4 linked regions of the Saccharomyces cerevisiae S288C genome follow. Changing the gene in region 2 together with the main gene of any one other region gives a genetic interaction. Each region holds a gene or a part of one and is shown on either strand. Other genes may lie near its edges.

Region 1 (5,031 bases), on a different chromosome or scaffold from region 2:
AACGACCCAGCTGTGACCATTGGTTTCAATGTTATTGGCCAGGAAAAAACTCAATTGGTCGCATGGACTACGACTCCATGGACTTTACCTTCCAATTTGTCGTTATGTGTTAACGCTGATTTCGAATATGTAAAGATTTACGACGAAACCAGAGATCGTTATTTCATCTTATTAGAATCTTTGATTAAAACCTTGTATAAGAAGCCTAAGAATGAAAAATATAAGATTGTGGAAAAAATTAAAGGTTCTGATTTGGTTGGTTTGAAGTATGAACCATTGTTCCCATATTTCGCTGAACAGTTCCATGAAACAGCTTTTAGAGTTATTTCAGATGATTATGTTACTAGTGATTCCGGTACTGGTATTGTTCATAACGCTCCCGCTTTCGGTGAAGAGGATAATGCTGCTTGTTTGAAGAACGGCGTCATATCCGAAGATTCAGTGTTACCTAACGCCATTGATGACCTTGGTAGATTCACGAAAGACGTTCCTGATTTTGAGGGTGTTTATGTCAAGGACGCTGATAAGTTGATTATTAAGTACTTAACTAATACTGGAAATTTGTTATTGGCATCCCAAATTCGCCATTCCTATCCATTCTGTTGGAGATCCGATACCCCATTGTTATACCGTTCTGTTCCAGCTTGGTTCGTTCGTGTTAAAAACATTGTCCCTCAAATGTTGGATTCTGTGATGAAATCTCACTGGGTTCCTAACACCATCAAGGAAAAGAGGTTCGCCAACTGGATCGCCAATGCCCGTGACTGGAACGTTTCCAGAAATAGATATTGGGGTACTCCAATTCCTTTATGGGTTTCAGACGATTTTGAGGAGGTCGTCTGTGTTGGTTCTATCAAAGAATTGGAAGAATTGACCGGTGTGCGTAACATCACTGACTTGCATCGTGATGTCATTGACAAATTGACAATTCCATCCAAGCAAGGTAAGGGTGACTTAAAGAGAATTGAAGAAGTTTTTGATTGTTGGTTTGAATCTGGTTCTATGCCTTATGCTTCTCAACATTATCCATTTGAAAACACAGAAAAATTTGACGAAAGAGTTCCAGCTAATTTCATCTCTGAAGGTTTGGATCAAACAAGAGGTTGGTTCTACACGTTAGCTGTCTTAGGTACCCATCTATTTGGCTCTGTTCCATACAAGAACGTCATCGTCTCTGGTATTGTCTTAGCTGCCGATGGTAGAAAGATGTCTAAATCCTTGAAAAATTACCCTGATCCATCCATTGTTCTGAACAAATATGGTGCGGATGCATTAAGATTGTACTTGATAAACTCACCTGTTTTAAAAGCTGAAAGTTTGAAATTCAAAGAAGAGGGTGTTAAGGAGGTTGTTTCAAAGGTCTTACTACCATGGTGGAACTCCTTTAAATTTTTGGACGGTCAAATTGCCTTGTTGAAAAAGATGTCTAACATCGACTTCCAATATGATGATTCTGTGAAAAGTGATAATGTCATGGACAGATGGATTTTAGCTTCTATGCAATCTCTAGTACAATTCATTCACGAAGAAATGGGTCAGTACAAATTATACACTGTCGTTCCAAAACTTTTGAATTTCATTGATGAATTGACAAACTGGTATATTAGATTTAATCGTCGTCGTTTGAAGGGTGAAAACGGTGTTGAGGACTGTTTGAAAGCATTAAATTCTTTATTCGATGCCTTATTCACATTTGTCCGTGCCATGGCTCCATTCACCCCATTTTTGTCAGAAAGCATTTATTTGAGACTGAAGGAATACATCCCAGAAGCTGTCTTAGCAAAATACGGTAAGGACGGAAGATCAGTCCATTTCTTATCTTACCCAGTGGTCAAGAAAGAATACTTTGACGAGGCCATCGAAACTGCAGTTTCTAGAATGCAATCCGTTATCGATTTGGGTAGAAACATTCGTGAAAAGAAAACTATTTCCTTAAAAACTCCATTGAAGACTTTGGTCATCCTTCACAGTGATGAATCATACTTGAAGGATGTAGAAGCCTTGAAAAACTACATTATCGAGGAATTAAATGTTCGTGATGTTGTTATCACCTCCGATGAGGCAAAATATGGTGTTGAGTATAAAGCAGTTGCTGATTGGCCTGTATTGGGTAAGAAGTTGAAAAAAGACGCAAAGAAGGTTAAAGATGCCCTACCATCAGTCACTTCTGAGCAAGTACGGGAATATTTGGAAAGCGGAAAGTTGGAGGTTGCCGGTATTGAACTGGTTAAAGGAGATTTGAATGCTATTAGAGGCTTGCCAGAATCTGCTGTCCAAGCTGGACAAGAAACCAGAACCGACCAAGACGTGTTAATCATCATGGATACAAATATTTACTCTGAACTAAAGAGTGAAGGTCTCGCAAGAGAGCTGGTCAACAGAATCCAAAAATTGAGAAAGAAGTGTGGTTTGGAAGCCACCGACGATGTTTTAGTGGAGTACGAATTAGTTAAAGATACTATCGACTTTGAAGCCATTGTCAAAGAACATTTTGATATGTTAAGCAAGACCTGTAGATCCGACATTGCCAAATATGACGGCTCAAAGACAGACCCAATTGGTGATGAAGAACAATCTATTAATGACACCATTTTCAAATTAAAAGTGTTCAAATTATGAAAACAACTCATATAAATACGTACAAATTTTTCTCTACTCGAAGTGATATAGATGTATATGTGTAAGTTTACGTTTAAGTTAGAGTCATGTAATGCTAACTGTCTCCACCGATAATGTTGTATAATACCCGTGAAATCATAGCACATGATATATCATCACCCGGAGGCCGGTTATTTTCGGCGGCGGCAAAAATATTTGGTATAATTATGGAAATACAAAAAGGGGAACCATTAAAGGTTGAGGAGGGGATTGATAAGAGAATCTAATAATTGTAAAGTTGAGAAAATCATAATAAAATAATTACTAGAGACATGAAGTCTACATTTAAGTCTGAATATCCATTTGAAAAAAGGAAGGCGGAGTCGGAGAGGATTGCTGACAGGTTCAAGAATAGGATACCTGTGATTTGCGAAAAAGCTGAAAAGTCAGATATTCCAGAGATTGATAAGCGTAAATATCTAGTTCCTGCTGACCTTACCGTAGGGCAATTTGTTTATGTTATAAGAAAGAGAATTATGCTACCCCCTGAGAAGGCCATCTTCATTTTTGTCAATGATACTTTGCCACCTACTGCGGCGTTGATGTCTGCCATATATCAAGAACACAAGGATAAGGACGGGTTTTTGTATGTCACTTACTCAGGAGAAAATACATTTGGCAGGTAGTCTTTTATATGAAAAGAAATGAAGCGTTAACATCTAAAATCGAAATTATAGGGACTCATTAGCCATCTATTGTTCCAGTATAAGAATGTTTACATAAAAAATTCGAAAAAAAAAGATAAAATAAGGGAAAAATATATATATATTCATTAAGAAGTTTTGTACACAACGGAGCCAAGATTTCACCAGTATTTGGAGACAAATGTGAGCACGTTATGGTATTTACTTACAGATTACGATCTGTTCAATGCATCAGAAATAGGAAGAAATTCAAAATAAAATAAAAAAAATATTAGGAAGGAGTGAAAAAGCAAATAAGATGATACAGTAAGGTGGAGTTAATGTCTTTCTTCTCCAAAATGTATTCTTGCTAACCAAAAATCTGATTCTCTCTGACCTGTTCGTTTGTCTTATGTATGTAGAATCAATTTCTTACAGAATTTTAAATACTGTATAGTGGAAAAGAATAATAAATAAATACTCGACTATATTTACCTTTATCTTAAGGAAAAGTTCACTCGATATTCTTAACTTTACCGTCTAGTAAGGCCTCTTTATTACATTAAAATATACACGTACATTACCCTGCTATCTATATGTCGAACATGAATTTTTATTCTTTGTAGAAACAAATCCCCAAATTATTGCCGCTGTTCTTAACGTACTTTTCAATTGGATCATTATCAATTTTGTATTCCTTCAAGTGAATGATATCGTTGTAGGAAATAATGTCCCTAAATTTCCTGTCCGATTTGTACCATTCGTGAATTAACCAGGTCATTTCTTTATTAAATACGGAATTATCGGAATCTGATGTCTCGATTAGTTCTTTTAAAATATAGTACATTTTGTTGAAAGAAACACCCGCTGTTATGAATATAGAAACTATCGACCCTGATACAATATGTTCCTTAGGTAGTGTTTCGTAGAAAAAATTACAGACAATGGGAAAGAGTTCGAAAATGGGGAAAATGAATTCAGAATCCTGAACATTTTTACCAATTTTAATCAGTACATTAGACAGTAAGTTGATGAAGTTCATTGAATCTTCTTTCTTTCCGGTATTATTAAATTCCATCCTCAAAGATTGGAATAGCTCATCCCACTTGGCCATAATTACTTCATGGTCCCTAAAATCTGCTATCTTGAAAATGAATAGGGCAATTTCATGGTAACTTAAGGGTACAGCAAAATCATTAAACAGCTCACTTGTGCTCAATATTTTACCATCTAGAGTTTTGATCAGCTCATCTTTAATGGCTGAATCTATTCTTGCGTCTGTATACACGAGCGACAATATATCACCTTGAATACCAGCAACTTCACATGCATCTTGGATCCTACTAGCTAATTGTACAATTCTTTGTTTCTGGCTTAATGGTGACACACTGTTGCAAAAACCATTGGCGCGTGAAAGAAACTCAATTCTTTCAAACAATGTGATGTCAAAATTCGATGTAGCTAAACGGTAAAGAATTTCAGCAGATTCGAAAAATTTAGATCTTCTTGAATAATAGACCCAGAGTATATTAGATATCTTCAATGAACTACCTGCCTTTTCCATTAAATAAGGGAGTATGAATGGAGTTTCAATATCTAATAGTTTTTCCTCTCTGTTCTGAGACACAAGCCAATCATACATATGATAGTGGAATAATCTATCGTTATATTTTAGGGCGGCTTCATAACTTTTTTGTCTCAGTTTCACTTCATCGTCATTCGATATCGAAATTTGGTTTTGAGTTTTTGA
Region 2 (6,063 bases):
TCATCCGTAAGACATCAAAAGCCCTTGACTACGCAATTGGATACTATGCGCTGGTGTGTTGATGATGCCATCGGCACAGGAGACATAGTTATGGCTGCCGACCTTTTCCTGCTGTACTACAGATTATTTACAGATGATAAAAAGCTAGACGAACAATATGCTAAGAAAATAATATCAGTATTAGCGTACCCAAACCCACTGCATGATCATGTTCATCTAGTCAAATATTTACAACTGAACTCTCTGTTCGAAAGTATAACCGGAGGCGGAATAAAGTTAACGAGGTTTCAATTAGAAACTCTTTCTAATAAGGCCCTCGGCTTAAGTAATGAAGCCCCGCAATTATGCAAGGCTATACTGAACAAACTGATGAATATAAACTATTCTTTGACTAACGATTTGAAGCTTCGGGATGATCAAGTGCTGCTTGCGTACAAGTCCATTGATGAAAATTATAGAAGAGGAAATGTTGCAAGTGTGTATTCTATTTGGAACAAAATCAAAGAGCACTATGTTTCCATTTCTGCACATGATTCCAGAATCATTTATAAAGTCTTCAAGATTTGTACCCATAATAGAGCCTATAGATCTATATGTAGCGAAATGTTTTGGCAATTAACTCCAGAGTACTATTGTAATAACCCTTTGATATTACCGGCAATTATTGACTTCATTACAAAGCAAGACTCTTTAACAATGGCCAAGGAACTCATGCAGAACATTAACAGATACACTTTACCCGAAAACCATCATATTGTCTGGCTTAACAAGAGATGTCTTTCTTCATTGCTAAGAATGCATTTGAAATTTAACGATTCTAACGGTGTAGATAGGGTTTTGAAGCAAATAACAACAAATTTCAGGGCGCTTTCGCAAGAAAATTATCAAGCAATAATTATTCACCTTTTCAAAACACAAAACCTCGATCATATCGCTAAGGCAGTCAAATTACTCGATACTATACCCCCCGGACAAGCAATGTTAGCCTATGGGTCAATAATTAACGAAGTAGTTGATTGGAAATTGGCTTCAAAGGTCAAGTTCACCGATAATTTGATGGCACTTGTAAACGATTTGTTGACGAAGGCACATGATTTTGATCCTGACCACAGAAACTCTCTTTGGAATGTGGTTTCCGCTTTATACATTAAAAAACTTTGTCATTATAAAAAGCGAGATGGTAAATTTGTTGCCAATGCCAAGAAGGATATCGATTTGGCAAAACTACTTTATATAAATGCTGCAAAGAGAAGTAAAACATACTGGACAAAATCGAACTGTAACCCATTCATTGCATCCTCCCCATGTGATGTCAAATTAAAAGTGAATAATCAAAACAGGTTTACTATTTTAAGGAATATTGCATTAAGCGCACTGCAGATAGGAAGAACAGACATTTTTCTTTGGGCGTGCGCAGAACTATACCAGAACGGTATGACGATTGAGGAATTGAAGTTAGACTGGAATTTCATCTTAAAACATCAAATTAGAAATTCAGAGTTCAAAACAAACAAGGAGATCATACAAGATATTAAAAAGCATGGTGTGTCGGCTGTCAAACGTTACTTAAGATGAACGGCCAAACGCACATTTACGATATAAATAACAAAGCAAATAATAACAAAACAAATTTCTGTAAATATATACTAAATCCAAGCATTGCATCCTAATTCTTTTCTTTTTTTGATCATCAAATAAATGTATTATTTTATGTTATATGCGTTAGACTTGTTATATTCTTTCATGCTATTCTATCGTTGTGTTATGAATTAATTTATATTTACAGTTTTTCAGTACATTCAATTCCTTTTTTTTGGAGGAGGTAACAATTTCACATCTTTCGATTGTTTGATCGCCGCGTTAGAGAAATCTCTCACTACAATTTGACAATTTACCTCTTTGCATAATGCCTTCTTCTTTGAAGGTGGTACTTTTTGCAGAAGTTCTAGCCCAGTACTTCTCTCTAAAGCATCTATAGGAACTTCAAAGTCAGTCAATTTCGTCTCATTTGATATCGGTTCGTTTGGCAATACAAATGCCGCGACAGCAATATCCTCTCTAGCAGGATTGGCTGTTGGTGCTTCTGCAACAATCAATTTAAAAAAGTGCGTTGGAACAGCAATACTGGGTGGATTGCCAATAACTTCATAATTAACCCTAAATTTATTATCTATGGGATCCTTTTTGGGTAGATACAATGGACCAGTCACGATTCTTACACTCTTATATTTCTTAGTCAATCCCCTACAAAAGTACTCCAAATGCGCCCAATAGTCTCTATTAAAACCTTCTCCTACTTGAGGACACATATTGGATAAGTAGAATGTATCATCCATGGCCTGTTGAGAAAATTTTGCGTCTGCAGCTGGGGCTTGATGGCCTCGATCATAGCCCGACCTAAAATAGTCTCTTAGTTTACCTCTAAACTTTTCTGGAATTACTTCATCTTCCTTGAAAAAGGAATTTTTTCTGTCAGCATTCCTTGCAGCCAATGATTCTGGCGTTATATGTTCGAGGACCCAATAAGGATTTTGAGTTTGTCTGTTGTAACATGAGATAAACTCTTCGCGGTTCTGCAGATCATGAATCGGACCAGGAAAACCATACTTGAAGAACCCGGAAGGATCGACGTTGAAAGAGTGAGATTGAATATTACTATTAGGTTTCTGGGTAGGTGGATAAGGTGTCTCAATGATTTGCGTTGGAGAATGTTTGTTCAAAAGAAGATAGGTTAAGCCAGTACCAGCACCCAGTCCGACTAAACCGGACAAGAGTATCCTACTGCACATGATAACTTTAACTTTGGGATCTAATAAGTGGGGAACTTAACTAAATGTTCTTATCTTTATACAATTGTAACTCTATAAAAACTAACAAATTACTTGATGAGTGACCAATAACCAATTGCACCATTGATATTTTTTCACAGATTTTATTTTTTTTTTCTTTTTTCGCGATGAGTTTTATTTCCGTGCATATGCATCCGACTTGCAATTAGTCGAAAGATTTCAGTTGAAAGGCCTCTTCGACAGAGCCCAAAGACTGCGATTTAACGTATGCCTCCATCACGGAACCTATAATTGCTTTTTGTTGAGGACTTATAGTGCTAGAAATGGCTTCTTTAAATGAATTTTTGTCCAATTTAGCCAAAGCAACTATGCCACTTGCTACTTCGTTGTCTATTTTCTCTGTATATGCGCTATGATATGCGGCAAAGAAAGAAAGACATAAAGCAATTGACAATGATGCCTTTTGGTGATCTTGTTTGATTACTTCCTCGGAAAACTGAATTATCAACTTAGTTTTAATGCTTGCCTGCGATAAGGAATCGTTTGTTTGAATATCTTGAAAGAATCTTTTTATAACCAACTTCATAAAATACTGCAACAACGGGTATTTGAAAATATTAGATATTATTCTCTTGAAGCCTTGTAGAGCAATTGGCTGCGTAGCAGGATTATTCAATGCCTCCGAGAGAATATTTGCGCACTGATTCAGTTCCTGAAAACTTAGCTTAGAGTATCCATTAGACAGCAAGATCAAAATGGTTGCAACTTTATTCTTTGAATCCAGCTTATGATAAATAACATCTTTTATTGACCCGTAGAATATTTCTAGTAACACAATATTTTTTTCGTCCTCAGATTCCGTAAGCGCTTTTACTAGTGCCTTGAAAAGTGGGAGTATGATTGGAATTATTACTTCACGATGACTACATTCATAAATTTTCCCTATGATGAATAAAAGACATGAATAAAGATCTACTTTGAACATATTGTCGAAGTTACTGATATTTGATTCGAACGCAATAAATGTTTTTTTCAACAGACTAATATCTGTGGGAGAGATTTTTATTTCATTATCATCTTCTTCGCTGGTAAGCACGTTATACTTAATAAATGGCAACCTCTCAGAAATAATTGTCATCAGTAGTCGCAGTAGCTCATATAGTTTGTCAATATCTTGTAGAAATGTTTCAGGAGTAGCATTACACTTCGAATACCCAATGATCAAGTCACTGATGATATCAACAAGCAAAAATTCTTCTTTACTGTCGCCTGTAGAAATCAGTCTGTCCATAATCTCAACAACTTCAGTAATAATATCATCCTCAAATATACTTTTTATGCACAGATTGCTCTTCAAAACATTGTGTAAAGCCGGTAAAACTTGCATCTTGACTGAATGATCATCAATATTTTTGACGATAGCCTCCAAACATTGGCTAAATAAAATAAAAAGAAAATACTCTAATTCCTCATCGTTAAGAGATGCCAAAATGACTTGAACGTCTGAATCCAGAGTGCACCCAAGGGCCTCTACGAAATTTAACCAGACCGGTTCATATAACTCAATTTTCGTACTTCTTGGTTCAATGAGACTATTTTCTTTCGAGTCATTCTTTACTTGCACAGTAGAATCATTATCGTTATACTTTATCATCATGTATTCACGTAAAGAAATGATCCATAATGGGACTAAAATGCTCCAATATTTCCTGGTAAAAGAGAAAAGCGCATCATTTGACGACGTGATGGATCTTTGCACTACCTCAGCCCACGCATCCAAAACGGCAAGTTCAATTTTTCTTTTCGCTTTGGGTGTAACGATTATAGCTTCCCCTATCCGTATACCGGAATTAGGATCTTTAAAGTTACCAAGAAGGTCAATTAGTAATTGTGAAATTCTTCCCAATTTATCTGGTGGCATTATATTCGATGCCAACACTTCAGCAGCAACAGTAATAGCAAAGGACATTACAGTAGGTGAGCTTCCTTTACTAAAAGCAGGCATTAATGCGCTAGTTATTTGGGCCTCTTGCTGTTCTAAAATCGACGATCCAGGAACCTGAGGATCTCTCATGGTGGAGTAGTTCTTGAGAACAAAATTCAAAATGTGTAGTCCCGTTAACTTCATGCCTTCATTCCTCACTGTAGATCCACGAAATGATATTTTAATGAGATCTGCAATTTTGTTGCTGAGGGCAAGGAGCAGATTTTCATATTTTTCGGATTCTAAGCACAACATTAATATTAAATTTAAGATAATCTGTCTGCTCTTCCATTGCAGGTTCTCAGAGTCGAGACCACCAGCATCTGTGTCAGTCAGTTGGTTAACATTCGCTATTGATTCTTCTTCTTCGCCTTTAATTTCCTTTTCTGAAGATTTTTTTAGGCCATTTACCTCTAGTAGGGCTGAAACGTCTCTGTTATAGCTTTGGAAGAGTCTTCCTAAACTCATATTAAATATTGAGTATAATTTATCGAACCAATGATTATCTCTTTTGAAAGTATGTAATATCCATTCGGTAAAATAATTCTTGACAGAACCGGAATTTGGAAAAAGTGCGAGATATCTCCAGCTCAAATTTTCCATTTCTTTCATGAAAAATTCCTCCATCTGTAATTTGTACAACAACGTCAATAAATCAAAGTTTTCAAAGGCGCCTTTCAGACTTGAAGTTCGAGAAATGAGTTCATTTGAGCCCGTGAATGTAGTGTCAAAATATGATGAGCCTATTCCAGTCACTATTGAACTTTTAATTATGCTCTTAGAAGCAAGAATAAAGATTTCATAGTTTAGAATGTTTTTCATTTTAAAAGTAGCTATGTTTTCAAACATTTTAATGCTGGTTATGCTGTTGAGAATATTATTTGAAATTAACATGGAGAGTGTAATGTTTCTGAACGAATCAAGAACCTTGGTGTTAAGTTCTAGAAAATTTGGCCCCACAGTTTCAGTCAATGTCCTTGAAATTTCACCGATTGCTACGTGAGAATTAAAGTCCCTATTATAGTTACAGCGAAGAGTAGAGCGTCCGTAAATACCATACTTATCCTGGACCAAAAGCTCTTCCATAGAACTTAGCAACAGAGCTGCCGTCTTTAAATCAATCACTAAATGTTTCTCAAGAAGAATATGCATTGCTTTCAATGACCATGAATGAACAACAGGGTGTGGATCCCTCATTAATGCAAAAATTACATCAAAGTATTCTTCAAAATTAGCATATTGTGAGTTATATTTAAAAATTGTAGCCAATGATAAGACATGAAACATCCT
Region 3 (6,650 bases), on a different chromosome or scaffold from region 2:
ATCGCGTACGAATGGCTTGGTATGAATTTAAAATATGGTACTATAAGCAGTATAGCTCCAGCAAGAAGGAAAACCTTTTGAAAGAAGTGCCCGTTTACCTAAAGCAACTTACTCCAAGGTAGCGTGTGAGCAAAACTATGATCAGTTCGTGTGTTACTAGATGTTTTGGTAGGGGTAAATGCCTTCCAGGGCCTGCCACTGCCTCGATATACCAAACGATAAGATGTATATCCACTAATTCAAATAAAGCTGCTGAGGCGCCAATATTTCCAAAGCTGGAAGACGTGAAGATGCATGAGCTCATAGGAAACAACAATTTTGGTAAAAAGACCTACTACGTGGAGAGAAGCAGGACCGGAAATCTACCGGTGTATTCCGCTTATAAAAATGGAGGTAACAAGATTATCACGGAGATCAGAAAGATTGAAGGAGATGTAATTCAACTAAGAAATGACTTGCAGGAGCAACTGCCTTTCATACCCAAAAAATCATGGTCTGTGGTGATGCAATCGAAAAAAATTATTATCAAGGGCAATGCAGTAGAGGCTGTCAAAAGGGTATTAACCAAGAAATTTTAGGTATCGCTAATGTATAAAAAAATAATTGTCATGTATATATATTAATTAAAATCATAGCCATGTGGTCATCAAGCCATCGAAAAGAAGTTGCTTACTTGTGTCTTAATGAAACCGTATGAGGCTTTTCGTGCATGCCCTTGTAGGCAATGAAACAAAGGCCAAGAACAGTTAAACACATCAAGGCTCTGGAAATTGGGTGGTTTAAATCATAGGCGGTGGTTCCAGTGGAGGTGGTTAAAGGTGTGTAGGCTTTATCGTTACGGAAGATGTTTTCCAAAGTGGAGCCAACAGACACATCGCCATTTCTAAACTTCTCGACTTTTTCTGTGTACGCAGCGTGCAAATCTAAGATGTTACTAATTTTTAAGATTTCTAGAACGAAATACAGGAACCGTAATTCATGCTGAGGCTTTCCATATTCGTCTGTTTCTGTGTATTGAATAGCATCCATTAGTTGATCTAGACCAGAAGTTATTTGACCAAACACGACACTTTTGCCATCCAATTCCTCATTTCCATCGGCTTTAGTGGTGATGATGAATTCCGAGGTGTTAGAATCAGGTCCAAAATAGGCCATTGCGAGTCTTTCAGGCCTGTCATGTTTTAAGTAAAAGTTTTCGTCATCAAATTTGGGCCCATAGACGGTGAAAGGACCCACATCTGGGGCAACCACACCACCCTGGATATACTTGTTAGGGTAAACCTTGTTGATTTTGGTCTTACGGTACGAGTAAGTATGTATATCATTGGGATCTTTCCCTTCGATAACTGCCTTAACACCATGGGCCAGCATAGCAAAGTTGTTCACAGTTTTGGGCACGACAGTACCGTACAACTCAAAAGTCAGATCCGCCTCTTTCATCGACTTCGAAACGGGATCAAAGTATTCGATAGTGATTATTCCACGATGTGTGGCGGGGGGACTGGGCTCATATTTTTTCTGAAGATCAACATCCTTGGAGGTAATCTGCTTCCCTGATGAAGGTGCAGCGTGGACTTGGCAGAGTACTAAGGAGTACAGGCAGAGCAGCAAGGATTTCAACCACATGTTGTTGCTGAACTTATTCGAAAGTCTATCTATTTTCTTCGGTCTTCCAATCTACGAGTGTGTGAGTTTGCTAGAGAGCAATTGAAGCAAAGAATATGTGACCTATTAATTGCACCTGACTGACGCCTTTCACTTTAAAGCAGTATTAATATATCTTCTCGTGTCGTTTAGCTGAACCTTTAAGTTGTCAAAATGATACATTATTTATCAGACAATGGAAGAAAAAAAGGGCGCATAGGCCCTAAAACAACACTAGGGTCATAATAGATGTATGGGTCTTACAACTCGTATTTGGTGCAGAAGCCAAGCCAATTGCGGCCTACACAGGTAGATGAAGAGGTAGTAGTAGCAGTGGTGCGAGTCGTCGTGGTTGGTGCAGCGTGGCTTTTAGTCTTGGTAATGAGCCTCGATGAGGATTCCCAGTCTCTGCTTGGAATAAACTTCCAGTTGTAGCAATCTACGCAGGGCTCTGGTTCAACGCACTTGGCAGCCTGCTCGTATCCAAGGAGAACTTCGTCAATGACTTTGTGGATTCTGTGGTTGAACATGTTTACACTCCAGCCCTTGTCGTTGACCACATCGTAGACACAGACTCTACCAGTGTGGCACGCGGTTTCCATAGCGTAGCCCACCAGTGAGCAACTTGAACTAGCTCCGTTGCATGTACCCATGAAGATTGGGTCTGCGTTGTGACCGAAGTGCCAGATACCCTCCATGTATGAGGGAAGTCCCGGTGGGAATGGTAAGTGAAGTCTTTTTGAAGGTAGTAGCTCTCCAGGGGACTCGAATGCGACCGCAGGCAATCCAAAAGTGCGGCCCAGTAAACTGGCCAATGCGCCTCCCAGTGAGTGGCCTGTGACCCATATGGCCGCATCGGGGTATTCTTTGAGGACGCCTTTGTATATGTCAACGACTGCAGAGTAAAATCTATCCTTACGTCTCAGTTCCTTTTCCAGGCAAGACTCATCGCATATATACGACTTCACATAGCAATCGCACACGGTAGTCCACAGGTAGCTCACTCTTGCACAACAACACGAAAATAACAAATTATCGTTGATCTTGTCGTTTCCAGTTGTCTCATCTTCGCCAGACCCTGGCAAACCCTGAGCGCTGGTTCCCTTTATCGAGAGTACCACGATATTCTCCACTTCATTGTAAAAGACGTGACCACGTATACCATCACCATCCCAACCAAAATCTTCCGGCTCTGTTTCATTCCACGGCTCCGTGACGTTACGCCAGTCTCCCGTTTGCGGTATTCTCACGTAAGCATTAGACGACATTAATGCTAACGACACTACTGTACCTCTATCTGTGATATTGGGTGCCACAATGTCATCATCTATCCACATGGCGTGTTCTTCCTCCTCCGTCATGTATGTTTCTCCGTAAATGTACGACTCTATGAATTCAGGATCTCTTTCCTTCATCCGCTTCATCAATAGCGGCATCCTTCGTAGCTCAAACTCAAAATCGAATGGGTTAGTGGTGGCATATTCGGCATTAGTAGTCCATAGGGGTTCTTGGTCTTCGAAATCCTGTCCTTGAGTTGTGGTTTCTTGATACAGCATTCCAGCGGCAGAAATAACTTCTGGAGTGACCTCCAGCCTCTGGTGTAGCCGATGGTTTGCTCCGACGCCATGCCTGTAGATAGACTTAAGTCTAAAGGTTCCATCAGATTTTTGATCCATGGCACCCCTGGATGAGCTCTTCCCTACCGATAAATAATCCGGTAAAGCAAAGTAGTAAGCAATAAGGCAGAGCACTGTAAGCGTTAGAATGCATCCTAGATGCAAAGGAGAAGCAAATCTCTTTCTTGAAGGGCTTTTATGCAACATTCAATAGAATATTTCCCTTGTTTCCTTTAATTGTAATGCCTAGATCAGTTCTCAATCACGATAACAATTTTCTGAGCAGCGGCGTACTTTCTTTGACTTATCCAAAAGGTTGACACTGATTTGAGTGTCTCAAAAGCCTTTAAATGATAGAAACAAGGCTTTTAGGCTAGTCTTATGTAATAGAGAAAGTTCATCTATATCTACAGATTCTTATTATGTACTGTTGAACAAAGGTGCGGGTAACTGCGATCACACAATCACTTTTTTCCGGAAACGGCTGTCTTCAGCGAACAACAATATAGTAGAGATACTGTATTCAACTGGAAATGCTTTCCCTTTTGCCCTATCATTATTTTCTTTCCGATGTTATGCTTATTATATCTGTGATTGATAAGAGAAAAAAAAAAAAGTGACAGCTATAGAGAAAAAAAAAAACCCTTAGAGAATCCTACCTGGAATATATTTAATGAGCAAGTCTATCTGCTGCACATTGGTCACGACACATGTTAGTGTATATGGCCCAGCCTATGTATTTACGATTTAAATCACCTTGATAATTATTAAACGATATCCAGTTTATTTCGTATTATGTTACATCTGTCAAGCCCTTACTTAGCAATTTTGAGCCCTAGTATTTTTGACCACATTTGTAACTGCCCTATTTTATTATCCTTTTAGCCCTCCTGTCCTTTTTTCTTGGTTGTAGTAATTTTCATTTATATCTCGAGAATTGTACAGTGTAAATGAGAACTGTGAACGCTTCAAGTAACCTACGCTTATAGCTGCTTCGATCGACGGAGGCTGTTTGTCAACAAGCATCACAATTCCCTACGATACGTCCTCTCTTCCTTTTTTTTCTCTCCTTTTAAACTTAGAAAAACTAGCATAATAATGAGTGGCAACTCTGCAAACTATGACGTCGGATATCCGATATATGGTGCTAAATTTATAAATGAAGGCACTCTACTGGTGGCTGGTGGTGGAGGCCAGTTCAATTCCTCGTTTCCAAACAAAATTACAGCTTTAAAGGTGAACTTCCAGAAAAAGAAACACATTAGAAGGTTTCGTGAGATCACATTAGATTCGATTGACGATGCGCCCACTTCATTGGATTGTAATAATAACCTGATTCTAGTTGGTTGCAATGAACTGTTTAATGATTCCTCCATGGAGAACGTTAACCACCACTTGAGGAAGTTTGTGTTTGAACAAGAACATCTAAAATTCGTGGCCAGTATTGATTTCAACAGAACTACAGACCCATCCGTTTTCACTAAGTTTGTTTACATTAATCAAAGGGCCACAGTAGCTGCAATTGCGTCCTCTGAAGTGCCCACTGTGATAAGAATCATTGACCCGCGTAATTTGACGGAAAATTACGAAATTGAAACGGGTAGGGAAGTTAATGATTTGCACTTCGCCCCTAACGGTATTCTTTTGTCATATATCACTTCTAATTCTTTGGAAGTAGCGTCTGTTAGGGACGGAAATTTTGTAGCAAGGAAAACGGATTTTGATAAAAATCTTGTTCTTTCTAATATCAGGTTTCTCAATGACAATACGCTATTAGTGGCAGCATCATTATCGAACTCTGATGGAGTTTCCTTGTTAAAACTAGGTGTGAGTTCCAAAGGTGTTAAAATTTTAAAAACAGCATCCTTCATGTTCGATTTGAATGGAATAACATCGATGGATGTCTCCCCAAATAAGAAGTTCGTTGCATTATCATCTAACGATAACTTGGTTGCCATCGTCAGCGTTGAAAAGCTAAAGCTTGTTCAGTTGGTTCCAAGAGTACATGAATCTACTATAACAAAAGTTACTTTTTCTCCAGATTCTAGATATTTGGCAAGCACTTCTATGGGGAACACGATCAACGTTCTGAAGCTTTCCGGTACATCGTCATCAATTTTACGAAATATTTGGAAATTTTTCTTGAATTTTGTTTTGTTAGTGGTTTTGGCTGGCGCTATTCAACTAGGCTACAAACATAATGTGCACGGCTTTATTTACAAACATGCTCATGATATATATAAGTCGAAATTCAAGGAAAACACTACCATAGACCAAGGATCTTCTTCTTATTTCACTATTAATGACGATTACAGAGGCATTACTGAAAGTGCAGATATCATCAGCGCTACAGATGTTGCTAGCGATATAGAGACTGAATTTTCCTCATTTGACACTAGCACTATGAGAACCACCACAGAAGATGAGCAAAAATTTGTTTGGATATCGTCATCAGCTGATTCACAATTCACTTCTGCAGATATCCCAACATCAGCTTCTTCTTCTTCTTCTTCTTCTTCTTCTTCTTTCTATGAAGAGAGTGTCACTAATGAACCAATTGTGTCTTCACCTACCTCTGAAATTACGAAGCCGCTAGCCTCTCCTACAGAACCGAATATTGTCGAAAAACCATCGCTTCCACTGAATTCAGAGTCGATAGATTTGTTATCCTCATCTTCAAATTCTATCACAGAATATCCTGAGCCGACTCCTGACTTGGAGGAGAAATTGTCCTCGTTAATAGTAGAACAATCAGAAAGCGAAATAACAACAGATAGAGAAAGCGTTTCAAAACTCTTAAGTACTGAATCACCTTCGCTATCACACATGCCGTCTTCATCTTCATCTTCATTATCTCTTTCCTCATCGTTAACAACTAGCCCTACTACAGCATTATCCACAAGTACCGCGACTGCGGTTACCACCACACAAACAAACCCCACCAATGATGCAGCCAACACATCTTTTCTAGACAACTCAAAACCGGCATCCACGAGAGAGATTTATAAGACAAAAATAATCACTGAAGTCATTACAAAAATTGAGTATAGGAATATACCTGCATCAGATTCCAATGCAGAAGCCGAGCAGTATGTTACAACATCTTCTTCAATGTTGTTGACGCCCACAGACACTATGGTTTCTTCGCCCGTCTCCGAAATTGATCCCATAGCATCAGAATTAGAGCGTATGGTTGAAACACCTACGCATTCTATTTCTATAGCATCCGAATTTGACTCAGTTGCGTCTAATTTGATCCCAAATGAAGAAATTTTGTCAACATCAGCATCCCAGGACTCTATTTCCTCGCATCCGAGTACATTTTCTGATTCATCTATAACCTCTGGCTTCCAGTCAATAGAAGTATCGACTGTAACTTCTTCTGTTCTT
Region 4 (5,765 bases), on a different chromosome or scaffold from region 2:
AAATGACGTATCATGGGGGGGAGTGTTGAATCAAAAAAGTGGCGAGCTAAAAATAAAAGAAAAGTGTACGTGGAATGAACTGTTTGCTGAGCTCATCCTACGGTCATTTTAGCCCGTGCCAAGGGAAAGTGACTATACGGTGGGGTATCGCGGGGTAAGGAGACTCAGGTACAAAGGCAAAAATCAAGATAGGCACATAAGAAGGCACGAAACTACCCCACGTTTCAAGTTTTGCTATATCCCTTATTTATTGCGCGCCCTGCAGGAAAATAAGTTTTAGGCACTTAAAAAATAAAGTTCCCGGGGTCAATTTCTGGTAGTGGCAAGCAAAGTATACTGAAGTTGGCAAGCAACACGTAGCCTCTGCATATATCGGCCTTTCTCGGAATGAAATAATCAAAAAAATATTATGCGGGAAGCCGCTGTTTTATTGAGCATTCTAATGCTTTCTTTTTCCCAGCACCTAAACCACACAATACTTTACTCCAGTTCCGTATTTGCCCCTCCCATGGCATCACGCCTATACCTTAACTGTTAATTCTCACCGTCCCCATTATACTAGGTTTAAAAAAGAAGGTGGTCAATCCTGTTGATATCTGTATCTCTATATAACAAAACTTCGGTATAAAACATTCACACTTCGAGTAAAATCAGTACCTATCTTCATGGACCCTCCAAAATGTCAAATTGTTATCAAGCGATTGATAACTCTAATGCACAGGTGTAATACCGTTTTACTACTGTCAAAGAAACTACATATAGTGTGAGAATCCAAAGCTAACATTTTCGAGTAACTTCGGGTTTTAATAGATTATTATCTGAATGCGAAGTTCAACATTTGTTGTTTCCAGCGGCCTTCTTTGTTTCACAATACAGAAACTAATATATATATATATATATATATATATACGCTGCAGTTCATATTTTAGTCTATTTTTTGAATAAAGGTTCCATTTTGTCGGAGAAAAGATTCTTCGACTTTGCTCTAGAAATTAAAAACGATGGAATATTAATCGTCCCAAGTAACGGTAGTGGAAATTGGCCAAACCCTGCATTTGGCCCAAGGGAGACACCACTTGGGGCATGTCCTGTCTCAAGACAATCTGCATCAACGAGACTAGCCTCTGTTCCTTCTTGTAAAGAACTTATAACATTTCGGGTCAAAACATCAACCCAATTATCTCTTTTAACCAATCCGTGATATCTAAAATTCGTTACATCACCAATGGCAAAAACGTTTCCTGCCTCAACAGCTTTTACCCTGAAGTTTTTTTCAACTTGAATGAACCCTTTCTTGTCACAAAGGTCTGAAATACTGTTGACCGGCACATTTGGAGAAATACCAACGCCTCTGTAAATCAAATCAGCATCTATATATTTAGATGAGCCCTCACCTAGAAAAATACGTTTCGGCGAGGTGTCTAAAGAAGCCCCTACTGTGTTCAAGTACAACGTAATACCATTTTTTGAGAGATAGTCTGTCACATTTTTTCTTAGGGTATCGTTGTATAACCCAGAGTCCGGCAGTAGCTTATCGGAATTATGAATAATGGAAATACGCTTTTTGCCAGACCTGATCTCCTCCAAATACTTGAATAACAATTCACCAGCTAGTTCACAATTAACAAAGCCACCGCCAAGAAAAAGTATGTGATCTGCATCTGAGATTCGAGAAGCCTCTCTTTCAAAATACTCTTTATAGTTATCCCCGAAGGTATAAGTTGAACCAATTGGATCAGCCCACTTTGAGCCAGTTGCAAGAACCAAGATATCAAACTTTATGGCCCTGTCTGACCCCAAAACTACCTCCTTATCATCAAAGCTGGCAGCCGTATCTTTGATAACTTCAATACCACTATCAAGAACATTTTTTAACGGCAGGATCGACTTGGTATAATCCTTTGAAACCGTCAAACGGACAGCTGAGGGTAGAAAATACACATAATTAGATGCTGTGACGAGCTTTATTGCGTATGTCCCACCCAGTTCCCTGTACAAGTGATTTGCCACAGACACACCAAACACACCAGCACCAACAACAACTATGTTCTTTGTGTTAATTGTCATATATTTTGCAATTTCTTTCTTCCTTTCTCTGCTCTTTCCTGTAAATAATGAAGAACAACGATGAGGAAATGTGTGTCTATCAATGATTTATCACTGCTTTCGTTTCTAGTCTGCAGCAGCTAATATATTAATACTTATAATAGGCTTCATTTGTCCAGCCAGATAAAAAGGACTAATCATGCAGGGTGGACATTCAATTAATTTTTATCGCTTTTTAACGATTACTAATCCAGTATTACCAACTACAATCACTCAGTCATGTATCACTAATAACGAAAAGTAAGCTGTACAATGCTCATCTTCCTAGCACTACTAGTACTGCTACTATGAGACACCATTGAAGTCTTCTTCAAGACCCCCATTATGAGAACACTTGGCTCACTATACAATCGGCGGGAGATGGGTTGTTATTATAGAGAGTTTCAGGAAAAGCACTCCTAGATTCTAGTCAAGTACTGCCTATTGTATAAGAGACGAGGGCACGAGATAGCGCAGTATTTTATGATGAAAATATGAAAATAAATACTTAACTCATTGAGTAAGCTTAGCTGGGCAACTTAACTAACAGTCAAAAAAAAAAAAAAAAAAAAAAAACAAGAGCCAGCAAACTGACATTAACATTGATCAATAAAATAAGAAAAAATGTACCAGAGAATTCGATTATGAACTGATGACAATATCATTAAAGACTTTGCACAGTATTCAAAAACTAATCGAGAGCTTTGACCAAAAAGTGTCCCGACTTTATAATGAGACCGCCGCTTAATTCATAGGAGTTATATGGTATGCTTTGGAAAGCTATTACATTGTTTGATAATTCAAAAATAAGCCACAATACTTCACCTATTGTGTACCATGTATTATAAAACATCGCAGCTCGTATCTGTAAACATACATTGACTTACATTTTAGTGATAACTTGGGTACTTGAGTGAAGTCCATTTCTCCCGTGCTTCCGGAACATAAACCAACATAGATTCTCTTTCACTCGAAACTGCTCGAAGCTGTTGCTCTTTTTTTGATCGTGGCTTTAACTATAAAACTCAACAGCTGCGTGATGAACGCGCTGTCAACAAATTTCATCTTGCGAATTATATAAAAAACACTGCGAGTGATTAAACCTCAGTAAACTTGTTACGTACCTCATAACATTAATGTGAAATACACTATATTGAATATGGGGGAAGAGATTAGACTTTTGTCCTCTAAAGGTCTTGAGACCCATAGTAGCTTTTGTTTGCCCGAGGATATTTTCAGAAACCGTTTAACATGGTTGTGCAGTGAGATTCGCAACTCAGGATTTTGGATCTGGTCGCTATCATGGTTACCGCTTGCCGTTTGGTGGGGGATGGCCAGTACTTGGTTTTATCCCCTTCTGACTTCAGTAGTTCTAATCCTGGCGCTAATTGCTATTTTGCCAGTAGTTCAAATACAGTACAGTAAATATACTTTATCAAATCAACTCACCCAGCTTTCTAAAGAAATCATCAAAAGTGCACCAGGTGCATACTCTGCTGATTGGGACGCTGTTGCAATACATTTCAATTCCTACTTGTATGAAAACAAAGCATGGAAAACTGCACATTTTTTTTTTAATGGTACTGACTGCCAAGAAGCATTCAGGAAAACCATTCTAGAGCCAGCTGTTTTGAGGAGACAAAACGAAGATCCTAGGTTCAGTTCAATTGAGATTTTGGTCCCTTACACCGAAGACGCGGTGCAGGTTTATTTTACAAAAGTAAACGCACAGTGGAGGTTGATCCATGGTAAGAAGGAATGCAAACTTACTATGTTGGAAAATGTCAAGCTTCCTAAGGAAACCTATCGCTGCAAGCTAGCATGGAGTTGCCAGAGAATCAGGATTTCTTTCTCTCCACTAGACTTCCTTCCTGATATGTCTGACTTCTTTATTTGTGCAAATTTATCACCAGCATGCTTGGTATCTTATTGGCTAATAGACATTTTCTTTAGAATGATAGATGATTTTCAAAACATAAGGCCTAAATCGATGAAAGTTGATGATAAAATGCAGTACCTATCAGATATTATAAACGAGCAGGGTGCTAGCCCTGAAAAATGGGATACAATTGCAAGGAAAACGAATACACGATTATTTGAAAAGAGGGTCTGGAAAAACGAAGAGTTTTTCTTTGATGGGACTGATTGTCAGGCATTCTTTGAACGGAACTTTAGTAGCCTTTTGTTCTCAAAAAAATCTGCGTCGCCTAGATCATTAAACGTTGAACTTTGGAAATACATTCAAGAAGCGCAATTGAGCTGTAACTATGAGCCGTTACCATAAAGATAGAAACATTTATTTTGACTTAGAAGCTACAAGGAGGATCAACTATTAATATTTTTCCTAGAGAACATTTTTAAAATTGGATTCAATAAATTAGCGCCATCTATTGCCCTTACACTTTTCTCCTTCATATCTGGCTAGAAAAGGGGGGGTTACATCTCGGAATCAAATATTTTCCTCTGCGTCGAGTTTTAATCCTGCTTCTGGTTACATTCTTTTTTATCATACACGATTCTTTGAACATCAACTTCTCTCAAAACCATCCGCCTTCAGCGGCTACAATTACGTAATTGCACCAAGGCATTCGCGGAGAATTCACGAATTTGCAGACGCCAACAGTATACGACTCCCAACACACGTCTAATATCTTGTACGGATTTCAAGAGATAGAAATATTACTTCCATGGAAGCCGTTTAGAGCAGACTGAATATGGGCTTAGACAATAAGCTTCTGAACGAGGGTCTTAAATCTAAATTCGGATTTTCTTTTTGACCGAAAGCGGAAACTTCGCAGGCGCGCAAAAGGGGTTTTCAAGGCACCTCGGCACCCCTATAATTGGCATTCTCACATTCTGCGCATACGAATACACATGAGTGCCATAAAACAGTACTCCACATACGAAGTCTATCAAAGATGTATGATTCGTTCAAAAACAAGAACATCTTCATAGTGATAATGAGATTGTGTGAAAGATGAGATATGGAGAATATGTGAGGTGCTAAATGAGCATCTGTTAACGAATCGTTTAAGTAGTGATAACAGATGGAGGAACGGGTATAAATAGAGCTGCTTCAACTATATGCCTTTGAGGTATGCGCTTTCATTTCACTATTTCTTGTTAAGATTACATCAGCACTAACAAACAAAACAAATACAATGGTCAAATTAACTTCAATCGCTGCTGGTGTTGCCGCCATCGCTGCTACTGCTTCCGCAACCACCACTCTAGCTCAATCTGACGAAAGAGTCAACTTGGTTGAATTGGGTGTCTACGTCTCTGATATCAGAGCTCACTTGGCCCAATACTACATGTTCCAAGCCGCCCACCCAACTGAAACCTACCCAGTCGAAGTTGCTGAAGCCGTTTTCAACTACGGTGACTTCACCACCATGTTGACTGGTATTGCCCCAGACCAAGTGACCAGAATGATAACCGGTGTCCCATGGTACTCCACCAGATTAAAGCCAGCTATCTCCAAGGCTCTATCCAAGGACGGTATCTACACTATCGCAAACTAGGGAGTGATGCCTTTACGAATGAAAATCCATAGACAGTGAAAAGTAATGAAAAAATAAAATAAAAAACTACTTTTTTTGATGATATAAATACCGTTGATTATATAAATGTATATTAATATTATAGACCTATTTGATCAATGACGGTGTTCGTGAAGT

Evidence for each region.
Region 1: of NUC1 (region 2) and ATG8, changing one suppresses a phenotype caused by changing the other (phenotypic suppression), as found in Saccharomyces cerevisiae (one study listed by BioGRID).
Region 3: of NUC1 (region 2) and ATG15, changing one suppresses a phenotype caused by changing the other (phenotypic suppression), as found in Saccharomyces cerevisiae (one study listed by BioGRID).
Region 4: of NUC1 (region 2) and AIF1, changing one enhances a phenotype caused by changing the other (phenotypic enhancement), as found in Saccharomyces cerevisiae (one study listed by BioGRID).

What each region holds. Positions count from the first base shown.
Region 1 is NC_001134.8:78,631-83,661, reverse strand, and holds ATG8 (ubiquitin-like protein ATG8), read left to right. Parts: upstream 1-2,930; coding exon 2,931-3,284; downstream 3,285-5,031. Other genes in the region: isoleucine--tRNA ligase ILS1, read left to right, coding at 1-2,619; NUP170 (Nup170p), read right to left, coding at 3,895-5,031.
Region 2 is NC_001142.9:38,395-44,457, forward strand, and holds NUC1 (ribonuclease), read right to left. Parts: upstream 2,790-6,063; coding exon 1,800-2,789; downstream 1-1,799. Other genes in the region: CBP1 (Cbp1p), read left to right, coding at 1-1,575; AP-1 complex accessory protein LAA1, read right to left, coding at 2,995-6,063. UniProt on the Saccharomyces cerevisiae protein: This enzyme has both RNase and DNase activity.
Region 3 is NC_001135.5:234,031-240,680, reverse strand, and holds ATG15 (triglyceride lipase ATG15), read right to left. Parts: upstream 3,468-6,650; coding exon 1,905-3,467; downstream 1-1,904. Other genes in the region: mitochondrial 54S ribosomal protein mL49 IMG2, read left to right, coding at 138-578; peptidylprolyl isomerase family protein CPR4, read right to left, coding at 670-1,626; GTPase-activating protein SED4, read left to right, coding at 4,359-6,650. UniProt on the Saccharomyces cerevisiae protein: Lipase which is essential for lysis of subvacuolar cytoplasm to vacuole targeted bodies and intravacuolar autophagic bodies. Involved in the lysis of intravacuolar multivesicular body (MVB) vesicles.
Region 4 is NC_001146.8:776,672-782,436, forward strand, and holds AIF1 (Aif1p), read right to left. Parts: upstream 2,068-5,765; coding exon 931-2,067; downstream 1-930. Other genes in the region: COS10 (Cos10p), read left to right, coding at 3,245-4,369; YNR075C-A (uncharacterized protein), read right to left, coding at 4,840-4,932; seripauperin PAU6, read left to right, coding at 5,247-5,609. UniProt on the Saccharomyces cerevisiae protein: Putative FAD-dependent oxidoreductase involved in the resistance to cercosporin and other singlet oxygen-generating photosensitizers. Translocates from mitochondria to the nucleus under apoptotic conditions, where it degrades DNA and induces apoptosis.